Nothobranchius furzeri: one gene and its partners. The protein of the gene in region 1 purifies or fractionates together with the protein of each later gene. This does not show direct contact. Links are inferred from orthologs where the notes say so. Each region holds a gene or a part of one and is shown on either strand. Other genes may lie near its edges.

Region 1 (5,822 bases):
GTGCAATAATTGTATATACATAACATTACTGTCCATATGTACATAGCGCTGCAGAACTGTATCCCCCCCCCTCCCCAAGTATGTTTGTTTTACACTGAGTGGGAGATGCTCTGTATCTCACTTTACACCTGTATAGTGACAATAAAGGCATTCTATTCTATTATATATATATATATATATATATATATATATATATATAGCCTAGATGGATTACATGAAAGCCTATGACTCAACAACTCACAGCTGCTCTTGATGAACATAACATCTATGATAGCTTCCAGTCAGGTTTTTGTAGAGCTCATTCTACTGAAACAGCTCTTCTTAGGGTCTCTAATGACCTTCTGACCCACAGTGAAGCAGGGGATTGTTCTGTTCTGGTCCTGCTGGACCTGACTGCGGCCTTTGACACTGTTGACCATCACCTGCTACTGGAGAGGCTGAGAGACTGGGTAGGCCTATCAGGATCTGCTCTGGAGTGGTTCTTCTCTTATCTGTCTGAGAGTTCCTTTTCTGTGGCCGTCTCCAAGTTTAGGTCCTCCACCACCTCTCTTACCCATGGTGTCCCACAAGGCTCTGTGCTGGGGCCTCTGCACTTCCTCCTCTATCTGCTTCCTCTTCAGCACATCCTGAGCTCCTTCAAAGGAGCTCCTACCATCTTTACGCAGATGACATCCAACTGTACATCTCCTTTAAGCCCCATGAGATGCCTAAGCTGCAGCTGTTACACGCCTGCTTAGACTCTATCAAAACCTGGATGGCTGGGAACTTTCTACAGCTGAATGAAGATAAGACTGAGATCCTCATCAGTGCCCCAGACAAGCTGGTTCCCAAAGTCAGAGACTCTCTTGGTCAGCTTGCTTCTCACACCAAAACCTCCGTCAGGAATCTTGGCGTGACCTTTGACCCAGCTCTCACCCTGGATTCTCATGTCAGTTCTCTTGTTCGCTCTTCCTTCTTCCATCCCAGGAACATTGCTAAGCTGAGTCCCATTCTGTCCCGCTCTGAACTTGAGACAGTTATCCACACCTTCATCTCCTCACGCTTAGACTACTGTAACTCTCTTTTCACGTGTCTGAGCAGAACCTGAACCGTCTACAGGTGGTTCAGAAAGCCTGTGCTCGGCTTCTGACCAAGTCCTCCAAACACACTCACATCACCCCACTTCTCCTCCAGCTTCACAGGCTGCCAGTCAACTTCAGGGTTCATTTCAAGATCCTGGTTCTGGTCTATAGGGCCTTACATGGACAAGCACCATCATACATTGGTGATCTTCTCCATCCCTACACCCCCAGCGGGTCCCTGAGGTCCAGTGACCAAAGCCTACTGGTTGTGCAACGCACCAGGCTAAACACCAAAGGTGACAGATAATTTGCTGCTGTGGCCCCCAGACTCTGGAACTCTCTCCCCCTGAGCCTAAGATTGGTGGACTCAGTGGTCTCCTTTAAAATACAGCTGAAATCTCACCTGTTCAAGCTAGCTTTTGCGTGACCTTCATCACCTCCCTCCCCTTATTCTGCTCTTATTCCACCTTTCCCAGGATCCATTAATGTCCCTCTTCCCTATTAAATGTTCTCTCTCCCTTTCCTTACATTTTTTTCTTTTCTCCTTTTAAACATATTTTTAATCATTTTTGAAATCTTTTTATACTTTAATTGTTTTTTTGTTTTTGTGAAGCACCTCGTGATTTTTATCTTGAGAGGCAGATAAAATATCATCAGATAGAATCAGATATAAAAATATCATTTTCAGCATGTGTTCAGTATTGTGCAATACTGGACGTACATTATCTGTGTCTCTTATGCTGCATATTTTTGGAAACCCAGTTGTCTATTTGTATTCATTGTTTTGAGGGTTGAATGTTACAAGAACAGGTTACTGCCTATGTGTTTACCTGTACTTTTGTTGTTTTCTTCTTCCTTGTCTAAAAGTGTATGTGCTGCAGTAACAAGGTTATTTCCCCAAAATGGGATTAATAGTCTATTCTAAATAGGGTGGGACCTCAGCTTCTCCAGATGTTTAGCACAGGTTGGAGGAGTCAGTGGCATACACAATGCCTCTGCCCTTTTAGTATTTGCTGTAAAATCCCAGTGTCAGTGTCCCAAACTCTTCAAGAGATTTGAAAAAAAAGTGAGAGGGCGATATCCTCTTTACTGGTACAATTGAAAAACTGTGGTAACGTTTGATCAAAATATATTTTATTAAAGGCAAATTATTGTTGGCGGTTGAAACGTTCGACGTGGCCCTAAAAACTGATTGAATATACCCTGGGTTATGCTAGAACCACGTGGTAGACGCGGTCGATGGTTTACGGCAGCTGACCAAAAGAAAACAGCTGCACGGAGTTGCATAAAGACGCATTGTCTTTGTGTCAACATTTAGAAAATTGCACTTTTTTGGCACTATCCGAAGACAAATCTTGGAAGTTAAACACACAGATAATCTCGGAAATGGTATTTTTAGATGAAATTTGCTCAGGTGTAGAGAAAAAAACAGTCTGTAAACGGCTCGTAGGCGAGGCGCGTGCACGAGGCAAATATGTCAATTTCCGATTGGTTGAAATGGTCATGTGGGCGGGCAGACGTCACAGCGCGGAGCTGGAGAGAAACCACTTCTGCGACCCGTCTGTCTTTCTAGTCCAATGTCCCACTGAGTAGACAGATCCACGTGCATGCAGCAGACATTTTGGTACTTGTCATCAAACCTTTAGATATTAGTGTTTCATTGAAACACACACATCAGAAGCAACCATGGTGAAGCTAGCAAAGGTAAGACGAATCTATATCACATCAAAATGTCCGCGCTGAGCCGTGCTTGAATTTTTTTTTTTTGGCGCACGAGGCCTTTGGCTTAAGGTGCTGCGTTTTTGGAAAAATAAAACCAGTCAAAGTTAGGAATGTGCGCGCATATGTTGCAGTGACAGCGCATTTTCACAACATTTTTAACAATCTAATCCTTCAAAAGTAGTTTTTCCCCCTAATATGTAAAGCATGCTGTATTTGGTCGACGTCTCTGGTTCTGGTTTTCCAGGCCTAGCTCGGCCTGCTAACGCTAGGCGAGTTTTCGTCGTGTTATTTGTCCGTTTCTCTTTTTAAGCGTTTGGGTTTTATTGTGATTAAAAAATTGAGCTTTTTTATTAAACTAAAGTGGGAAAGTAGAGTTTTGACGTTACTGGTAATACATTTGTAATAATGTAACATACGTTTAATCCTATTCCGTTTTAGCATTAGCACGTTGCACATTTTAAGTACGTGGTCCGCATCTTCTTTACACGTTTTTGAGTCGAATTCAAGGGTTTTGTTTTTCGTTATCTGTTGGAATCTTCGTGTCGAACGTTTGTTACCCAAAGCGGTTTGATTTTTGTTGTAGTTTTAGTCGTCTGTGGTGAAATGTAGCCCAGATGCTAGCCTTATGTTAGCTTCACGAGCTCCACGTGGGTGGGCGCACGCTATGAGTGACACACGCGGTGTTCAACCAAAACCGAGAAAGTAGTTTACTGTAAAGGCGGACGGATGTCACGATTGGTTAGTCAGTCTGCATTATTTGCGGTATTTATTTTTGTTTAACTTGGATGAACTTGAATTGATATACTTAAGCTTAACGGTTGAGCTGTAGATTCGTTTTGACTGTTGTGTAGTCTTTCTAGTTTTTATGGATTAACACTGGCTTTTTTTTTTCAGGCAGCAAGTCAACAAATTAAAAAGAAAAAAGCCCCCCCACCCCCCAAAAAAGTGGAAGAGGAATCTAGTGAAGAAGAAAGCAGTGAGGAGGAAGAGGTATAACACTTGCTTAGTTACTGATATCAGTTTGTTGAATTCAAATAACTGAACTTTCTTTCTTTTTAAAATCCAGACCCCTCCACCTAAAGTAGCAAAAAAAGCAGCAGGTAAAGCTTCCCCAGCAGTCAAAAATGGTACCCCTGCCAAAAAACAAGAAAGTTCTGATGAAGAGGATGATTCTGGTGAGCTGCACTAATAAAATTTAGGTTTTTCAGGTCCTATTGATGTCATAATAAAATAATTTTCAAGGGATATCCCCGTCAAACTCACACAATGTACTCTTATTTAGCCTACACATAACGAGCTGCTTAAGAAAGTTTATTTTAAATTATAAACCTAAATGCATAATTTATTAGTTGCATAATTGATTTTTTTCTAAAAGTTAAATTTTATTTGATTTGTGAAATTATCTCGTGGTCACCCACAGAGGAATCTGAGGAAGAGGCACCACCACCTAAAAAGACACCTGCAAAAGCAGCATCTGCAAAGACAGCTGCTAAAGCCACAGCAGTGAAAGCAGCGCCTGCCAAGGCTGAGCAGTCTGATGATGATGACGACGACGAAGATGACGATGATGGTATGTGGTGGTTTAGACTTTTTTTTTTTTTTTTGTTAACTTTGACTAAGTGAATAGTGAAGTGGCCCCACACCCTCCATTTCTTGGCATGCATGCAGTTGATTGGTACTCATGTGTGTAATGTACGGAGGAAAAGTAAAGGCAGCGCTATGTCTTCGGTGCCGGTGTGTTTTAATGTCTGCCGGTTCTATCCTCAAACGCTGTTACATTGCTTCATGTTTTGTTTTCTGCTCTATATGAATCTTACCTAGAAGTGAGGGTGAAAAATAACCCAATTTCAATGTTTCTTGTTCAGATGAATCTGAAGAGGAGGCCCCACCTCCCAAGAAAGCAGCAAAACCAGCAGCCAAGCCTCCTGCCAAAGCCCCAGCAAAGGCCAAACCTGCTCCAAAGGAGTCTTCTGATGATGATGACGACGATGATGAAGATGATTCAGAGGAGGAGGAGGCAGCTCCACCCCCAAAGAAGGCTACTCCAGCCAAAGCAGCTGCCGCTAAACCTGCGGCCAAAGCAGCTGCTAAATCTGCAGCTAAAGCACAGCCTGCTAAAGAGGAGTCTGACGATGAGGAGGACGATGAAGATGGTAAGCCTGATTCTCTATTGTTTTTAATTATTGACAAAGAAACTTTACGCTGGACCAGCTTTAACTGTGTGATGAAGAAAAAGGGACTTAATACTGATTGTGGTTGATGTCACTTTTTACATATCTGATGTTGGTCAAAGCTGCAATAGCAAATCTGCAAAACGGGCCAGCTTTTAAAAAGTCGCCGAACTCTCTTTCCCCGTCAGCTATCATAATTTTTAACTTCACAAACTATTTTTGTCTTCCTTTAAGAGGCACGAAAGTGTTTTAGACTAGTTAGTTTTGCAGATTTGCCATTGTAGATTTAAAAGGATCATGTGATCTAAAACATGGGGACAGGAAATGATGTCCAGATCTGATGTTTGTACTCCAGACTCTGAAGAAGAGGAGATGGACACCACTCCAGCTCCAGCAGCCACCAAGGCAAAGAAAGCAGGCATGGTCAAAGCCAAGGAGGAGTCAGAGGAGGAGGAAGATGATGATGATGATGATGACGACGAAGATGATGATGAGGAGGAGGATGAAGGTTAGTTTTGTGAAACTTTTCTTGTGTCTTAATATTCGTACTGGAACTTGACTCAAAAATTAAGTTTTAATATGTGAGATTATCAGAGCGTCAGACTCTGCTTTCCTTGTTATGAGAGCTGTAACCTTTTCTCCTCAGAACCTCCAGCAAAACCTCAAAAGAGGAAGGCAGAGACCAAAAAGCAGGAGACTCCTGCTAAAAAAGCAAAGTCGGATGGTGAAGGTAAGACATGTTTATGAATTTTCATCGTGATTACAAACCATCACAACTCTGATGCAGTCTGACAATGACACAATTTTCTTATCAACAGGTTTCAGCCTTTTTATCGGAAATCTAAACTCCAGCAAAGACTTCGATGAA
Region 2 (5,750 bases), on another chromosome or scaffold:
GCTGAACATCATGACATGTGAGGTCCCCCAAGGCCCAATTCTTGTACCGCTGCTCTTTGATCTCTACATGCTCCCACTGGGTCAGGTCATAACAGTGCTGCCCATCATAGTGATGCAGATGACACCCAGACCTACCTAGCTCTATCACCTAGTGACTGTGGTCCCAGACTCACTCAGTGTTTGCAGCAAATTAAGGATTGGATGCAATCAAACTTCCTCCAGTTAAAGGCTGAAGTTATTGTCTTTGGAAATAAGGACAGGATGGAGGTTATTGCTCAGCTTGGCTCCAGAGGAATAAAGACAAAGTCTCAGGTTATAAATCTTGGTGTTGGAATTTATTCAGACCTGAGCTACACTGGTCACATTACGGCTATAACCAGCGTTATCTGCATCAGACAGTAAGTCTCATGGTTCAGACCAGACCTAGAGAAACACTTCATACGTTCATCTCCAGCAGGCTGGACTACTGCAAGGGTCTTTTGGCTGATCTTCCCAAAAAGCTGTGAAGCAACTGCGGCTTATTCAGAACGCTGCTGCTACTCTTAACAAGAACCGAACACATCACTCCTGTTCTTAAATCTCTACACTGGTTACCAGTAAACTACACAATCAATTTCAAAGTACTTGTAGTATATAAATAACTCAATGGCATGGGGCCAGAATACGCCAGATCTCCTTCAGGTGTTTACACCCAGCAGGGCGCCGAGATCCTCAAGCAGCAGTTTACACCAGCCTTTGAATACATTTCTAATGCTGCACCTTCTGCACTGTAGTTGCTCACCCGTCAACGGGTTCTTTTGAAATTGCATTTTCTGTCACGTTTATTTCAACGTTCTTGCTGATTAAAAGCACATTGAATTTCCTCTGTGAATGAAATATAAAGCTGCCTTGCCTTATTTGTGATCAAACTCAATATCTATACATTTACTAACAATTCAGCAGCATCCCAAATAAATACGTTTAGTGAACGCACTTTAGAGGCATGAGATTTTAAATCAGTAATTGAAATGGCACTCCCATTTTTTCTCATTCATCACATTCAGTGATTTTCAGCAACTTACAAGGTGAGAAATTCTGCCGAATGCTGAAAAAAGACACAGCAGAACAATTCAACAGGACATTTATTTTGTGAAAACTTTTCACTTCTTTGCAGCTTCCTTCTGGAGCTTCTTCACCTCGTGCTTGATGATCTTGTTCCTCTGCAGACAGAAAGGTGCACTGATTAGAACAGGGTTAAATGATATTTAATTTAATTATCTCACCCGCTGAGCTCCACATTGGTCCCAAGACTACTTTTAACACTTTACTGATCTGTTTTGCATAGAAAAAAAGCTTCTAATTAAAAGCCTCTGCTATACTCACCATCCTCTTGGCCTTCATCACCTTGTAGCGGTCAAAGTCAGACATCTTAGCCCTCTGGAGACGAGCCAAACAAAAACAGGTCAGCGACATAACGTGTGGTTTGCTTTTAACTTGGTTTGTGTTAAAATTATGAACTAATCTGATTTTAAAAGGTTCAGCTGTAATCCCTCTGATGGGACAGGTCACACCAGCCAGTATGTAAACCGATTACACAGCAGTGGGCAACAACATCCTGATATAACGCTTTGGTCACACTGTAGGGTTATTTTATCCATTTTGTTAGCTGCACAAACAAGTGTGGATATAAAACCATTGTGCACTTGATGGTAGGAAACAACGTCTAATTAATGCTAATATTTAGAAAACTGGTGCAAAACGGTTAAGACGTTGAAAGTACAATGATTGTTACAGTACAGATGATCAAACACGGAGATGAACTAACAGCAAAACAAAACTCTGACAGCATTTTACCTTCTGCCTAGCCTCGATCTTCTTGGCCCAGCTGCTCTCTGACCACTTCTCGTTGACCTGGGCCTTCTCCCAGGCTCGCTTCACAAACTTCTGACGAGCACTGTGAACCAAAACAAACAGCGTACAGATCTAAGAGCTTTCTTGTGTTATTCAGAAAAGTGTGAAGTTAGAAATGCTCGACACATTTTACAACCATGACTGAGAAGCCAGGCTGCTGCAGGAAAACTGTAAACCCCATTCACCCCAAATCACCAAAAACGTGGGATGACTCGAAAAATCAGGTCTGATTAACACAAGGGCGCTGAGCCGACATCTACATGAAAACCGCACCAGCTGTTGAAGCAAATGAAATCCATCCAGTTGAATTTGCAAAATAAACTAACAGTTATTAACTAAAGGACAGAGGTTTCAGCATCCGGAACATCATTATTCAAATAGGGAGCAATAATAAACGGCAGCTCAAAATCATATTTAATTTAACATAGTGTGAATTTAAACTCAAAAACAGGTAAAGACCAGCAGTAACAGAAGCAAGCAGAAAGAACATTGCTGGCTGTTCTCTTGTGTGATTTTAAAATGCGAGGCTTGGATCAGCGGAAGGATGAAAGTGGAGGCAAGTAAAAAAAAAAGACAGGATAGAGAAGATGCTCCGAACCCTGAACCTGCAACCCAACATTAAGTCTAACGTGTCCTAGTGAGAGAAAAACAACAAACCACTCAATCTTAGACTGCTCGCTTGCTTATCCCAATTAAGTGGCTGTGGCTTCTAGTTTACATAAATGAGTTTCTATGTTAAAATGCTTCAGGGCTCCTGTTTCAAGAGACAACAGTTAGTGTGAGAAGTGGTAGATGGAAAACAACAGGATTGTGAGTGGAAAGTATTGCAGTTCAGTCACCGGTTAAATTAAAAATCAAGTATTAGTCTCTCAGCAAACCTTTAAGCACCAGAATCAAAATTAGCTTTATGTCAAATTTACACAAACAAGTTCACTAACATACTTCATGTTTGCCGCCTTTCTACCAGATAAAACATAATATCTGAACATAAACAAATCCTGTGAACTAGTAACATTTAACATGTGCAACACCGTGTGACAGCTATTGGTTGTGTAAACATGTGGATTATCTTTAATACACTATATAACTTCATAAACCCCTTCAGTGTAAACACGCACCTGTGAGGTACTTTGATGACGTAGTCAGTAAGCTGCATGCACTTGAATGGCATGGCTTGCCTCTTTACTCCAGTGCAGGGACCATCAACAAGTGCCTGCGAAGCAAAATAAAATAAAAATCCTTATATCAACGTAAACACACTAACTTACAGTTAATTCCCCAATCCACTCACCCTGTTCTGGTCAATGACGTCTACTATGGCCACCAGCTTGCCAGCATTGGGTCCAAAGGAGATGTAGGCAACACGGCCGATCTCAACAAAGCGGTTGAACACCTGACGGAGACGAGAGGCTGGTTAGGATCTACGTTGACTTTAAACATATATCACACATTGGGCTCTATCGCGCGAATACACTGAGAAATGTGACATACACCGATTTAAAATACGGAACTGGACCGCTAGAGCGAGCTAACAGCATGTGTTTCTGCGTTAACATCAAGGATTAGCGGACGCACAGAGTAGAAACGTGTATGTGACACCCAGAGCGGACAACAGGCAGCTTCATCATAACCTAAAAGTTGCGTTTGATCTGGTTAATGAGCAAGCGCTCGGGCTCTGCGGCCTGATAGACCACGTTGCCGATAACTTCAGTCAGCGTTGAAATCTAGAAATACACCTACGTAAACATTTTAAACTTAGCAAATGTGTGCGTGAGTGTTTTATAAATGCACACTGATGTTATTTTTTACACTAACTGAACAAATAACTACTCCTTTTGAATAAGTTTTCTCCTCGTCTCATGGCGAACTCACCATGATGGCAGTCGGGGAGCAAAAAGGACGTTACAGCTTCCGGCTGCTGCACATGACGACTTCCGTTTTGGGTTTGCACGTGCGCAGTGAGTTCTACTTAAAAAAAATCAAAAGAAATGTTATTAAATGTGTGTAATGTAATAGTTTAACCAAAAAAAGGACGCTGCTCACAATGTATCATGCAGAGACGCGCAAAATGAAAACGTGTGTGCCACACCCAGTTCAGAAATAAGTTTATCGAGTGAAAGCCAACGCCAAAACAAAACCTGTAAGCTATTGACTGAGGTGAATCAAACTGAATGGTAATTATTTTAAAACAAGAACTTGATAATATCAGTAGTTTCAGGTGACACGTTGAAATGGTATAATTAATGTCTTTGAATGCACCATCAGGGAGGTTTTTTTTAGGACGAATGTGCAATAATAAACTAAAACAGGGCTGAAGAATCTTACTAAGATTATAAAGTCACATTTCCTGTTACTTACTAGTGAATTGTCTTTAGGACTAAAGATAGAGATACCCGAAGCAGTAATTATTATTTAATTAATCCCAGAAAAATCTGAACCATTGGATGTAATGAGACTTGTCATTATGAGGCAGTTTTACTAACCAAAGCTGCAAGACTGTCCTGTCTCATGCTATTCCTCATATTATGGAAGCCCATTACTGCCACTCAGATAAAAAAAAATCTCATAATTATGACTTAGCTATCTCATAATTATGACTTAGCTATCTCATAATTATGACTTAGCTATCTCATAATAATGAGATACTATCTCATTATTGAGATAGTATCTCATAATAATGAGATACTATCTCATTATTATGACTTAGCTATCTCATAATTATGAGATACTATCTCATTATTATGAGATAGTATCTCATTACTATCTCATAATTATGAGATACTGTCTCATAATTATGAGGTACTATCCCACAATAATGAGATACTATCTCATAATTATGAGATAGCTAAGTCATAATAATAATGAGATAATATCTCATAATAATGAGATAGTATCTCACAATTATGAGATTGTAATGAGATACTATCTCATTATTCTGATATGATATAATTATGAGATATGAATTTTTTTATCTGAGTGGCGGGAATGGGCTTCCATAACTTCCTTCTACTTTGTAATATTGAAAAAATATTCCTGAAAACTATTTCATAACAAATGTTTCTTTTATGGTCACTGATTTACAAGCATATTTCCCTCCATGAAGATACATGTGAAACAAGACTTTTAAAAACAAATCTTTGTTTTTTTCCTTTAGTTTAATAACAACTTTCACTATATTTCATATCAAGATTTTACAAGGCTACCAACTCTACTTGTGTAGTGCATAGACATGAATACATAGATGCTCCATTGGGCACAGGATAGCGTAACAGTGTCGCTGCCATATTGGATGGGTCTCCTCACTCTCCAAAGTCAATGCAGAATGAGTAACTATGCCCGTTTTGTGCAGCCTACAGTTGCAACAACTGGCACACTAATGAAAAAGATTGATAAAATGTGTTTTTTAGTTGGGTAACCACCTTCCTCAGTAATAAATGCAGTGAAGATGAATGGAGGCCAATCCAAGATGGAGCTACGGCAGCGCCAGTCCACGGGTCATCTACGTACATATGTCTGTGGTGCCGCGCACCAGGCTAAAGACCAAAGGTGACAGATCATTTGCTGCTGTGGCCCCCAGACTCTGGAACACTTTCCCCCTGAGCCTGAGATCAGTGGACTCAGTGGTCTCCTTCAAAAAGAAGCTGAAAGCTCATCTGTTCAAGCTGGCTTCCGTGTGACCTCCTGTTCATCCTCGTCTTCCTGACTGGCTTCTATTCATGCTTAGATTCTGTCCGTTATGTCTTTTTTCAGGATACTGTGATTACCTTTGTTCTTTTTCTTTTTTTTCATCATATTTTCAATCAAAAAATGTTTCCCTTTATCCATCCATCCATTCATCCATCCATTTTCATCCACTTATC
Region 3 (5,642 bases), on another chromosome or scaffold:
AGCATCAGTGTGTCTCACCTTCTTTCTTTTTCTTCTTCTTGGTTTTTTTCTCCTGAGCTTTATCCACACAATTCTGTAAGTCCTTCATGATGTCCAGGAGCTCGTCGGGGGCCTTCAGGTCAGACAAAAAGTCTATTCATTTTGGTTTCAATGCACAAAATACTAACGGAGAAAAAGCACAACCTTGTTTGTGAGGTTTGTAATATTTGCAGAGGAAATTCAGACTTTTTCTCTAAGCAGCTCAGTGTTGCAGTAAGGTGGCGTGTACCTTGAACAGATGCATCCCGACCAGCAGGAACAGCTGCTGGAATGCGCCGCTCTCTGCTGTTGTGCCTTTTTTCCTCAAGTTCTCCACCGACTCCAGCATGCTGAAAAACAGCAATAACAATTTCCTGCCTTCACATCAACATAAAATCTCAACTATATCATCACATTTAACCGATAAGTAATCAGAAATGTGAAGCCTGAGTGTCCCCTCACCTGTCCCAGGCCTGTCTCTGCTCAGGACTGAACGGATGGACTCTGTGAACGTGTTTTGGATGGTTTAGAAGGAGCTGGGCATACTGAACCAAGCGGTAAATCCACATGGTGCCATCAGCTGTTACGCCGAGCACCCGTCTCTGATTGACGGCCGTGCCGTCGTCGCTAGGTGGCATGTGGTGCAGCGACATGAGGAGTCTGGATGGAAGACAGATGGGACGGGACTTAACTGAAGCTGCAGAGGCAAAGTCTGACTTCTTTAATAAAGTTGGTAATACTTAAGGAAATTAGACTTCTTCTCACCCAAAAAAAGAACTGACGAGCACTCCTCTGGTTTTCTCGTCAAGCGGGATGGAAGGCTTTGAACTAGTCTCTGCGATGTCAGAGGAGGCCTTCTGGGTGCCGAAGAAGGCGTGGAAAAAGACAAACCTGGAAAAGGAGCAAGTCAGAATCATGGTTTTCTCCTCGACTCCCACAGAAACCCTGAAGCTGCTCACCAGGAAGCTCACCTGGCCACGTCCATGATGAGATCCTCCTGCTTCTTCACCTGACTGTTGTCGATGATGGAGGCAAGTCGAGAAACAATCCACCTCCTCAGGTGGAAAACGGCGCTGTCCTTCCTGAAGGAGCATTAGAGTTAAAAGGTGTTTTTTCAGTCAGCTAAAGAAGCGGGCGTATAAACTCACTGCTCTCCACCCTCCTGCTTGCCCTTCTGCTTGCGGGTGCTGAAGTCCAGCAGCTCTTCCATCCGAGGCTGAAGAAACATTCCTTTAAGCCACTCCACGTAGCTCTGCAAGGCTGCAGGCTGAAGATGCTGCACCACCTTCCACACTGGCAACACCACAGGCAAACCCAAGTGGGTCAGCGAGGAGAAGCCCACCATGACCGCCAGCTGCTTGTCTGAGTCCTGACAGGCCTGCAGGAAGTCCAACACGTAGGTGTCCATCTCCGGGGCCAGCTTGAAGCGGCCCGGTTTCTGGAAAAGAAAAACAGCCATCCAGATCTACAGCTCACCAAGACCTCACTTGTTATTCCTCTGATTCGAGTGAAATCTAAAATTCACCCTGGAACTAACCTGAGATGCAAGAACGTGTTCTCCGTAGTGCATCATCACTTCTCCAGATAAGACCGTCTTCAGCTGGGACAACGACAGCAGAGGGAGGGCGCTTCCCAGCAGGCGGAAGCTCAGATAACTGAACAGAATCAACAATGGGAAGGCTGGATGTTAGAATAAAAATTCACTTGCAGGGAAGAACAAAGTCATACAAGAAAATAAAAACTACACTTTTCACATTTTAGAGCTTTGTTTCCACGTTTTGGGTCCGATTCATTCACATCCTCGTAATAAACTCACTGAGTCACTCCGAACGGCTCCCTGAACATTCCCTCTGTGATGGCTTTGTTCCAGAAGAGCTGGAAGCTGTCCTCCTTCAGAGAGAGCTTCAGGAGGTCCAGAGCAACGGCTGGTAGAGTTAACTCCTTCTTCACAGAGTGAGCTGCCATCTTTAACACCTCTATCAATCTGACAGATAAGGTTTTTAATGATAATAAGCAGGAGGAGACGGTTGAATGCGTATTTTGAGACCTGATTCCCGAATTCTCACTTTGGAATGTTGTCAGCGTTAATGATGGTGGAGGAGCCCAGCAGCTTCTTGAGTTTCTTCGGCTTGAGAGTTTGAGGGAAGCGCTGCAGCGCCACCAACAGCAGCTGCAGCTGCTCGGGAGTGTTGAAGGCTGACGCCAGGTCAGTCTGCAGGGCGCCCAGCAGGACCTCCTCGAACACCTCCTCTGGGATCTGAAGGCCAAGAGGGCAGCATGTGAGTGCGTTTTGAGGTTAAACTGATACAAAGTGGAAAGCTGCAACCAGGACGCAGCGGTCACCTCAGTGAGGATGTCCACCATGGTTTTACTGGGCAGGTCCTTCAGGTGCTGCTTGTGCTGAGTCAGACTCTGGAGGAGCGTCACACATCCCAACACCACCTGTGGCTCCTGCAGAGATCAGAGCTGCTATAAGTGTTTTTGACTCTTTAGAATGTTAACCTTAAAAAACAAAAAAAAAAAAAACTCCCAACTCACTTCAGCGAGACGTCCAGACTGATGAAGAGCGAGGACGCCAAACAAGTTTCCGAACATCGCATTTCTGGCAAGTTTCTATGAAACAACGTGATTTTGGTGAGTGGAAACGCCCGTTAGTGAAGTTCCTGATGCCAAAGGAGTCCTGAGCATCTAAACTCACCTTCTTCACAGCCTGTATGTTGTGTTTCTCTTTGATTCTGTTCAGTATACTCTGCAGGGAGACGTCCTTAAAGGCACTCAAGACCTGAAAGAGGAAACTTATCGCTTAATTTGAAACATTGAAGTTTTTTGATTTCTACAAACTGGTGAACTTTAAAGTTGAATCGACCAATCAAGCGGGCTGGCGGTGCCCTCACCTGTCCCAGAGCCAGGCTGAACCCAGGCCTGGCTGTCTCCCGGGTGTGGGACAGTCCGTCCACCAGACGTTTAAACGTGTAATCCAGTTCATCGGCCTGCAGGACAGAAACAACATCCGTAAAACTTTCTACACACCACTGAGACTGGGAACATTTAGACATCACTACTCTCAGAAGAGCCCCAGGCCAGCTGTGGCTACATGGTAGCTCATCCCTACCAGTGTGTAAATGTGTGATTGTGCTGTGAAGCGTCTTGGGGGCGCTATACAAATACAGGCCATTTAAAACTCATGTCTTTATCTTTGAGTATAAATGACTTGATGAACATTTTATTTTTGTTTTGATATACCGGTATTAAACTTGCACTTTGCTTTATACTTTATTTTTATATTTAATTAACGCCTTCTACTTTGTTGTGAACTTTTAGCTGATTGTTAAACACTAGTGAAATTGTTTTTAACAGAAACTAATTTAGTCCGTTAAAACTTGATTTTCTTTGAGTTATTGTCCAATTATGAAGAAAAAGTTTTTTAAACCAAAACGTAGGCGATTTTATTAAGAAATTGACAATTTAGTCAGTGATATAATCATTTGAATCTAAAAACTTTTATTCTGATTTACTAAAACTTTAACTTCAGAGGACATAATGCATCTGAGTCTGGATCGTGTCCAGGCAGTTTCTCACCTTGTTTTCTGTTTTCAGGTACTGGATCAGGTTCTCCACGGCCTTCAGTCGGACCTCCTGATCCGGTTTAGCTAAATCCCAGAAGAAGTCGAGGAAGACCCGGTTCTGCTGTAAAACCCCGGCCGGTCGCAGCGGCTCCGCTGCCTTCACCAACAGTTCCACCATCTCTACAGACATCTGCTCTCAGAACCACCTCTGATCAACATGCTGCTACGGGAGGAAAACGTGTTTCCACAGACACAAACCACTTCCGGGTCAATTCAGATGAGGGTTGCTCTTTAGCGATAGGCCGGCGCAAGACTCGGATTTCATCGTTAAAGAATGCTGCCCAGTAGTTGCACCTCCACGTGCGCCGGTGACAACATGATGTAAACCCCCATTTTTTTGTTCTTTCAATAAACTTTGTTTTGATCATCAGCGTTTTTTGTGGGAAGGTGGAACAGTCTAAACCAGGGCCAGATCCATATCCATGGAAACTTCTTGATGTTGAGGGTTTTTCTGACTGTATCTTTTTTTTTCAGTTAAAATCTAAGTGAAAGCTACTGAAGCTTATTTAGGAAAGAGCATTCTCAGGGTTTAATCTTGTTTTTCTAACAAAGACCTCAATAAGCGCCTCCTGAATTTTATCTTGAGAGGTACTATAACTAATGTTTCTTATTCAATTGGCAAAAACTAAATCCAGACTTTAATATGAATTTAGTGACAATTAACCCATGCTACTTTTAAATCACTTTTTATTTAATTATTCAGTAAGTAAATTCTTTCTCTTTAAGCATTTACTCGTTTTGTGATATGATGCTGTGACAAGAGCGTTCACTTTGGTATTGTAGACCATCTTCATTACCGTGTTTTTGGTTTCCTAACTTTAAATCAAACCACACACATCCACAACACATTTCATCTTTGCATAAAAATGTATTCTTTATTAAAACTGCATGCATAACCCGTTGCTTCCTGCACAAATTAATGAGCAGAAAAGGGAAACTGGATGTTGACAAAAACATGACACATCACAATCACATGGTGGCTCTTTGTGCATTCTTTCACTCGATCCGAGCAGTGAGCACAGTGTCCAGAGCGCTCTGAGCATCTTTTATCTGCTGCTGCAGTCTCTGCTTCATAGCCTCGTTCTGGGCTTTTTTCAGCATGTCCTGCATGTCTTTGATAGCAGCCTGGTAGCCTGGCGCATTATGAAACACTCTGATAGCCTTGTCGCCGCTGCACACCAAGAAGCGGCTGTTAATGTCAAACCTGAGGTCGGAGATGTTTTCACTGTGGACACCGTGCAGTTCCTTCTCCAGATTCCCAGTGGCAGCATCGTACATCGCTATGTTACAACCATTGCTGATGGCCACAACACGGCCATCAGGGGACAAAGCCACTCTGCTGCCTTCGGAGGAGGAGCAAGGGACCGTCTTCAGGAGGTAAGGATCCTGCTGCTTTTTGTACTCTACATCTGTGTTCCACAGCTTCCACGTTCCATCTTTAGAGACGGTGACCATCCTGATCGATAAAAGAAAGAAAAACAAATCAGTTATATTAAAGTGTCGTAGATAATCTGTGTGTTTTTTCCATTTAGCAGAGTGATTGCTTCAGATATCAAACATAGGAACTGGATCTCACTGATGAATTTCAAGCTTCATTGTGCAAACAGAACTAACGATTTAACACCCACTGTGTCCTCATCAGATGACACCCTTGGTGTTGAATCATTAGTTCTGTTTGCACAATGAAGCTGGAAATTACTCAGCGTGCCCCAGATCATCTTTGGTATTGGAAGCTGTTTGTCTTATCGCTTTTAAATTCAAAGCACAACAAGCCTCCTCTGTGGCTCTGTGTTGTAAACAAACACTTTTATTACCTGTGAGAGTTGTTAGAAAAAGCAAAAGCATGAACTCCTGCAGAATGGCCTTTCAGATCAAACGCTCGAGCGACCTCTCTGAACTCTCCTCCCTTCCCAAAGCAAACCTCCCAAACCTTCACGTCAGGAGTGAAACCACAGGATGCTACAAACCTGAGCACAGGGAGAAAACAATGACAATCCT
Region 4 (5,627 bases), on another chromosome or scaffold:
CGAGGCGCTTCACAAAACAAAAAAATACAAATATAATTTTTTTTTAAATATCTTTAAAATGACTAAAAATAAAAGTTGTGATAAAAAATGTAAGGAAAGGGAGAGAGAAAATGAATAGGAAAGAGGGAGATCGGCACCAGAATGAACGGGACAAATAAATAAAACCTATTAAAACATGAATTATTTGAAATGCAGATTTTGAGTCCTTTGAGGTCAGTGTGTGATAAGGGTCGCTGTGTGTCTTAGTGCATGTTGTCTAGAGTCATCTGCATGGGACTTATGCATGGATATGTTGTGCTCTCCTTGCCCTCTTCCCAAAGGCATGATGGGAGCTTACGGCCCACCTTACATGCCCATGCAGGGCCCTCATGAGGGTTTGCTGAGCGTGGCACCAATGCCACCTCACTCTGGGGGGGTTCCTCACCTGCCTCCTCACCATCTCCAGCAAGGTATGCCCGGATACCCTGGCATGCCCCATCAGGGTAAGGGCCCACTGTCCCAGCCACACTTGCTCAGTCACATGCAGTCGTGTCTCTCCGGCTGTGGAGGGGTTTACCTGGTCCACAGGCTGCATAGCCTGAGCTACACACCGAACTGTCGAAGCTCGCTGGTCTTGCCCATCCAGATCTACATTCACATAGTTATGCATGACAAACTGATACCAGATGACTAACATTTAGCTAATTTTCATGCATTAACTTTCTCAGAGGCTGTGTTGAAAACATGAAGCAAACTATAAATTAGGTAAATTCCTTTTCCTCATTTGTCAGAGTAAATCTTGTGTTTAAACAGGTATGATGGGCGCTGGTGCAAATGGGATGGCAGGAAGTCCTGGACAAGGAAATTTTATGCAACAGGTGTTTTTTTTGTTTTTTTTTTTGTTAATACAGAGCAGTTGAAACCATGTTGTAAATAAAAGCTAGACTGACTGAAATGAACAGTGCGGGTTTACCACAATTGCTTTATTTTATTTTAGCCTGGGGTGTTTAGTCCAGGACAGCACGCTCCTCCACCATATCCCGGACAGGGCCAGCCATCTCATCTGCAGCCCACCACTCCCATGTTTGTTGGACCACCACCAAAGACCCAGAGGGTGCTCCACTCAGAAGCCTACCTGAAGTACATTGAGGGCTTAAATTCAGAATCAAGCACTGTCAGCAAGTGGGACCAAATGCTAAAAGGTGATGCTTTTCCCCTCACTCCCAAATCAGTTTGCTTCTCTGTGCGTTGATGCAAATTCAACATTTTTGTTGTTGTTGTTTACTGATAACTTTTATCCATAACAGCTCAAAGACGAGATGCTCACTTTACCAAAGAGCAGGAGAGTCGCCTTCCAGCACACTGGTTGAAGAGCAAAGGAGCTCACACAACAATGGTGGATGCGTTGTGGCGTTTACGGGACTTGATGCTGAGAGACTCACTGAATATTTGTCAGGCTTACAACCTGTAACCTCCCAAACAGAACCACTAACCTCAGTAACTACTCTTATCCTCAGTTTGTGGAGTTTTCAAATGGTAGAAAGCAATATTTTATAGTGGGTCACAACCATTTTATATTTATTAGCTAAAAAAGTGAACTTGATAGTGATTTGTGTGCATTTTTATACCGTCTTAAATCATAGTTCTGCTAAAACCTGTGATTTTATTTTATTGTCTTATTGATGCAACCAGAATAAAAAGCTGCAAACCTCATGTTTGTTTCATTTTTTATGTAGCTTCTTGCCTTTTTGGATTTTATTTTTGAAGTACTTCCGGTTTGATGACGCCATTTCCGTGAGACGATCAAGACCGTGCCATTCTCTTTAGTGTTTGCCGTGTCCTCCCAATGTTCGCCTCCTTGCCTCCCGCATTTTGAATACAAATTAACAGACACTGACTCTTGAAGCTGAACGTAAAACCAAACAAACCCCATTAAGCCATATTTTATTATGGATTAACAAAAAAAAAACGAAGAAAAGTAGCGAAGAGGTGAGGCTTGCTTTGTGCACTGTCGGCTTTAGCTAGCTGCTAAGCTAATTTGTCAACACCGGCTGCTTTCTGGTTCGTTGGCCAAATAACCTGAAACATGTCCTTGACCAGACTAAAAAAATATTGTAAGACTTTACTGATGTTTAGTTGTAAGCTAAGTGTTTTTGGTAAGTTTTTTACCTAACGATTCTAAAAGTGATATCAGGTTGCTACACCGGTGCCTTTGCGGTGAGCTGACCGGTTTGCTAACATGCTCCTTCGGAGTAGCCTTTATTAACTCCTCGCGGCCTTATTTAGAAATGGATCATGTTCTGACAATAATGTATGTATATATGTTTTAAATATTTGTAAAGACAAGAGTTATGGGCTGTATAATGCATTGACATGTTTTTTGCAAGTGTTTTTGGTCCATTCTCTGCATCGGCTAACCTGCCAGTAATCTTGTTTTTAACATAAATGTAGCATTAAGATAACCTTTTAGCAACAAAAAGCATGCTATTAAGTTCCGCAGTTTGTTGCGTGCGACCGGTGGTCCATGGGAAATGAGAGGTGGTTCAGTTAGAGGCTTTAGAGGCTCATCCTTTCCAGCCAAACTGATGTGATGGAGAAACGTGAATATCAGAACAAGCAGACGCTGCTGAAATCTGATTTTCAATCTTTGTCCTTTGTTTTGCAATGGATCAAGATCCAATCATGAAAAATAACAAAACGGATGAAAAATGTTTACAGTTCATCACCCAGGCAGGATGGGTGTCAAGTTAAAGCATGAAAAACATGCCATCAGTGCAATAATCCAGTATTACTGAATAACATGTTTGCTGCTGCGTAAAGGCTTTTTGCACATTATTTAGTCCGGTAAAGATTAAATTTAATGTATGTATTTTTATATCTGCCTTTTCTTATATCATGTTTATTTTATTGTTTGCGCCACTTGAGTGCCACCCAGTTTCAAGTATTCACATGCAATGCCACTAAAACCTTCTGATTTCTAAACAGGGGGTCTCCCTCCTGAAGCTAGGGAGGAGCCCCTTGAGCTCTGGTTCTTGGCCTGGGCTTTGGGTCTGATTGTGGCCTGGCTCATGCACCATGGTCAGATACTGGGGGTGCTGCCGTCCCTTCTGGAGCCAAGAAGGAGACCCATGAGCTCTGGTTCTCAGCTTGGGCTGTAGGTCTGAGTATGGCCCGGCTCATGCAACATGGTTGGAGTTAAACAAATATTATATCACAATGACAAAGGAACATTTTTGACATAACATTTATAAGTTATCTTTGAAGAGGTTCTTTAAATGAATAAACAGTTTATTTAAAAAAATTAAACAGCCATGGGCACCAAGTAAACATTTGGTGTATCTCATTGTCATGTGTCAGCCTCAACGTATCTCTTCAGTAAGTGAAAAGAAATAAATGATAAAGAAAAATGTGGACACCTGCTAGAAAGAGTGCTACTTTTGCAATATATGCATTTTTAATTACATAAATTGATGTACTGTTGAGAGATTTGCAATAACTACAGGCACTGATTTAATGATATTAATGGTCAAATTAGCTACATTTAATCCAGTGGCGGTTTTTAGAACCAACATAAATATATAAACCTCACAATGAAGCTAATAACTGCAATAAATTGCAATCATCTCTCTTGTAACAAAACCATGCTAATTTTCTAACCAAGAATCGTTTGAAAATGCAAATTATTTGGTAAAATACATTTGTTATAATATCATATTTCTTTCTCAGACTCTTCTCCAGGCCAAGCTTTTATCCTGACCTCTTCAGTCCTCGGTCACTCCCACACTGTAAATCACTAATCTTGACTTCAACCTTCAACAATACAAGAGCAATGAGGATGTCTCAGCTTCAGTTTCAGTGTCCTGTTAGTTCCATGCCTGCTGCTTCTGCCCCCCTTCAGCTGGGACAGCCGCAGCCTGGCTACAGCATCCCCTGTGCTACGGGCGCCCTACCATCGGAGAGTGCCAGTCAGCCCATCAGGAGCTCCGCCCTCCCTGCGGGCTCTGCCACTCCTTATAATACCACCACAGGTACTTTCTTTTTGAAATAGTTTGGGTTTCTTTCCTTCACCATCTAGATCTGGGTTGACTCCAGAAGCTGTGGCTGTCTGCATCTTTCTTTAATGGTGTTTATTATTTTGTTTCAGTAAACATGGCAAACCCTAAAGAGAAGACCCCCATGTGCTTGGTGAATGAGTTAGCTCGTTTCAACAAGCTCCAACCTGAATATAAGCTGCTTTCTGAGCAAGGGCCAGCACACTCCAAGGTACAGCGGGTGTGAAGTCTCACACGTCCAACCCGTTGTCCTGTCGGGTTTACAGTAATGATAGAAGGTCTGTTTCAGATTTTCTCAGTGAGGTTGACGCTGGGAGATCAACACTGGGAGGCGGAGGGGACCAGTATCAAGAAAGCCCAGCATTCCGCTGCTGCTTCTGCTCTTACTGAGACAACTCTTCCCAAACCCACCATGAGGATGCCGCGTAACACAGGCAGGAACCCACATGGGCTTCTCCCGCTGGTTCTGTTTTCTCATTATAATTAACATTTTACGATCGGAGAGTTGATGTGTTACATTTTGTATTTTCTTGTGTCCCCTGCAGCTGATGGCATCACACACACCATGGAGCTGAATGCACTTTGCATAAAGCTCGGTAAAAAACCCATCTATAAACCCATCGACCCGTATCCCGGGATGAGACCGCCGAACTTCAACTACAACGTTCGTGCTCCGCCTTACCAGCGCTCTATGCAACAGTCAGTTTACACCAATTTAAAAAATCATATTTCCTCTGTTTAGCCTCTGATTTTCAAGAGTGGAACAACTTTCCTTATCTTTCCAGGTACTACTATCCATTTACCCCGGTAGGACCGATGATTTATCACATGGAGCTCTCCATCGGGGGTCAGCAGTACGTTGGAAAGGGGCGTACACGGCAGATGGCCAAACACGATGCTGCTGCCAAAGCGCTGAAAGTCCTGCAGAAGGAGCCCATGCTGCAGCAGTGTCCAGAGGTGGGAAGAGTAGCCATCACCAGACAGCTTAAATACTGTTTTGTTAATATTTCACATTGTTTTATTTTTAAATGTGTAACAGGTGAATGGAGAATCCGAGGATGAGAACCTAAACAAATCAGAAATTAGCCAAGTTTTTGAAATTGCCCTCAAACGAAACTTACCTGTCATCTTTGAGGTTTGGATGTTTGCTAACATCAGAAGTCTTAAGATGAATGTTCAAGTTGCGACTGTAACAAAAAGAGTTTGTTTTTATTTTTCATTCCAGGTTTTAAAAGAGGAGGGCCCTCCACACATGAAGAATTTTGTCGTGAGCGTTTCAGTCGGAGAGTTCTCGGGAAACGGCGAGGGGAAGAGTAAAAAGATCGCCAAGAAGCTGGCGGCAGCGGCGGTGCTGTGTGAGCTGAAGAGGCTCCCCCACATACCGAGTGTGGAAAGGAAGCTGCCACGCATCAAAAAGAAAACCAAATCTATCATCAAGGTAATGTTGCTCCGGAATCCGAGGTGGGATTAGTCAGATCAGACCCAAAGAGCCTTCATTAAGTTATGATTTACTCATTATGTCCACAGCTGCAGACCAGCCCCGAGTATGGCCAGGGGATGAATCCCATCAGCCGCCTGGCTCAGATCCAGCAGGCC

The links.
Region 2: the proteins of ncl (region 1) and rpl14 purify together in Homo sapiens (affinity purification with mass spectrometry; 3 studies listed by BioGRID and IntAct, with this or other methods). This does not show direct contact. The link is inferred for Nothobranchius furzeri from reciprocal best matches to the Homo sapiens genes NCL and RPL14.
Region 3: the proteins of ncl (region 1) and mybbp1a purify together in Homo sapiens (affinity purification with mass spectrometry; 3 studies listed by BioGRID and IntAct, with this or other methods). This does not show direct contact. The link is inferred for Nothobranchius furzeri from reciprocal best matches to the Homo sapiens genes NCL and MYBBP1A.
Region 4: the proteins of ncl (region 1) and stau1 purify together in Homo sapiens (affinity purification with mass spectrometry; 4 studies listed by BioGRID and IntAct, with this or other methods). This does not show direct contact. The link is inferred for Nothobranchius furzeri from reciprocal best matches to the Homo sapiens genes NCL and STAU1.

The regions. Positions count from the first base shown.
Region 1 is NC_091748.1:62,944,731-62,950,552, reverse strand, and holds the start of ncl (nucleolin), read left to right. Parts: upstream 1-2,577; 5' UTR 2,578-2,747; coding exon 2,748-2,765; intron 2,766-3,677; coding exon 3,678-3,773; intron 3,774-3,849; coding exon 3,850-3,958; intron 3,959-4,203; coding exon 4,204-4,353; intron 4,354-4,426; exon of another isoform or gene 4,427-4,564; intron 4,565-4,648; coding exon 4,649-4,936; intron 4,937-5,309; coding exon 5,310-5,462; intron 5,463-5,600; coding exon 5,601-5,684; intron 5,685-5,772; coding exon 5,773-5,822. UniProt on the Homo sapiens protein: Nucleolin is the major nucleolar protein of growing eukaryotic cells. It is found associated with intranucleolar chromatin and pre-ribosomal particles. It induces chromatin decondensation by binding to histone H1.
Region 2 is NC_091751.1:21,576,598-21,582,347, reverse strand, and holds rpl14 (large ribosomal subunit protein eL14), read right to left. Parts: upstream 3,851-5,750; 5' UTR 3,766-3,850; coding exon 3,763-3,765; intron 3,284-3,762; coding exon 3,182-3,283; intron 3,104-3,181; coding exon 3,009-3,103; intron 1,934-3,008; coding exon 1,834-1,933; intron 1,417-1,833; coding exon 1,363-1,416; intron 1,200-1,362; coding exon 1,140-1,199; 3' UTR 1,104-1,139; downstream 1-1,103.
Region 3 is NC_091750.1:52,602,283-52,607,924, forward strand, and holds the start of mybbp1a (myb-binding protein 1A-like protein), read right to left. Parts: upstream 3,851-5,642; 5' UTR 3,775-3,850; coding exon 3,598-3,774; intron 3,009-3,597; coding exon 2,913-3,008; intron 2,801-2,912; coding exon 2,717-2,800; intron 2,632-2,716; coding exon 2,557-2,631; intron 2,470-2,556; coding exon 2,362-2,469; intron 2,276-2,361; coding exon 2,085-2,275; intron 2,003-2,084; coding exon 1,835-2,002; intron 1,674-1,834; coding exon 1,556-1,673; intron 1,457-1,555; coding exon 1,167-1,456; intron 1,101-1,166; coding exon 990-1,100; intron 910-989; coding exon 784-909; intron 679-783; coding exon 481-678; intron 369-480; coding exon 269-368; intron 113-268; coding exon 19-112; intron 1-18. Other genes in the region: tbl2 (transducin beta-like protein 2), read right to left, coding at 4,641-5,100, 5,459-5,611. UniProt on the Homo sapiens protein: May activate or repress transcription via interactions with sequence specific DNA-binding proteins. Repression may be mediated at least in part by histone deacetylase activity (HDAC activity).
Region 4 is NC_091743.1:66,054,688-66,060,314, reverse strand, and holds the start of stau1 (double-stranded RNA-binding protein Staufen homolog 1), read left to right. Parts: upstream 1-1,777; 5' UTR 1,778-1,968; intron 1,969-3,705; 5' UTR 3,706-3,808; coding exon 3,809-4,007; intron 4,008-4,123; coding exon 4,124-4,242; intron 4,243-4,320; coding exon 4,321-4,465; intron 4,466-4,576; coding exon 4,577-4,730; intron 4,731-4,816; coding exon 4,817-4,988; intron 4,989-5,070; coding exon 5,071-5,166; intron 5,167-5,256; coding exon 5,257-5,469; intron 5,470-5,558; coding exon 5,559-5,627. Other genes in the region: pbrm1l (polybromo 1, like), read left to right, coding at 321-482, 793-857, 977-1,181, 1,287-1,450. UniProt on the Homo sapiens protein: Binds double-stranded RNA (regardless of the sequence) and tubulin.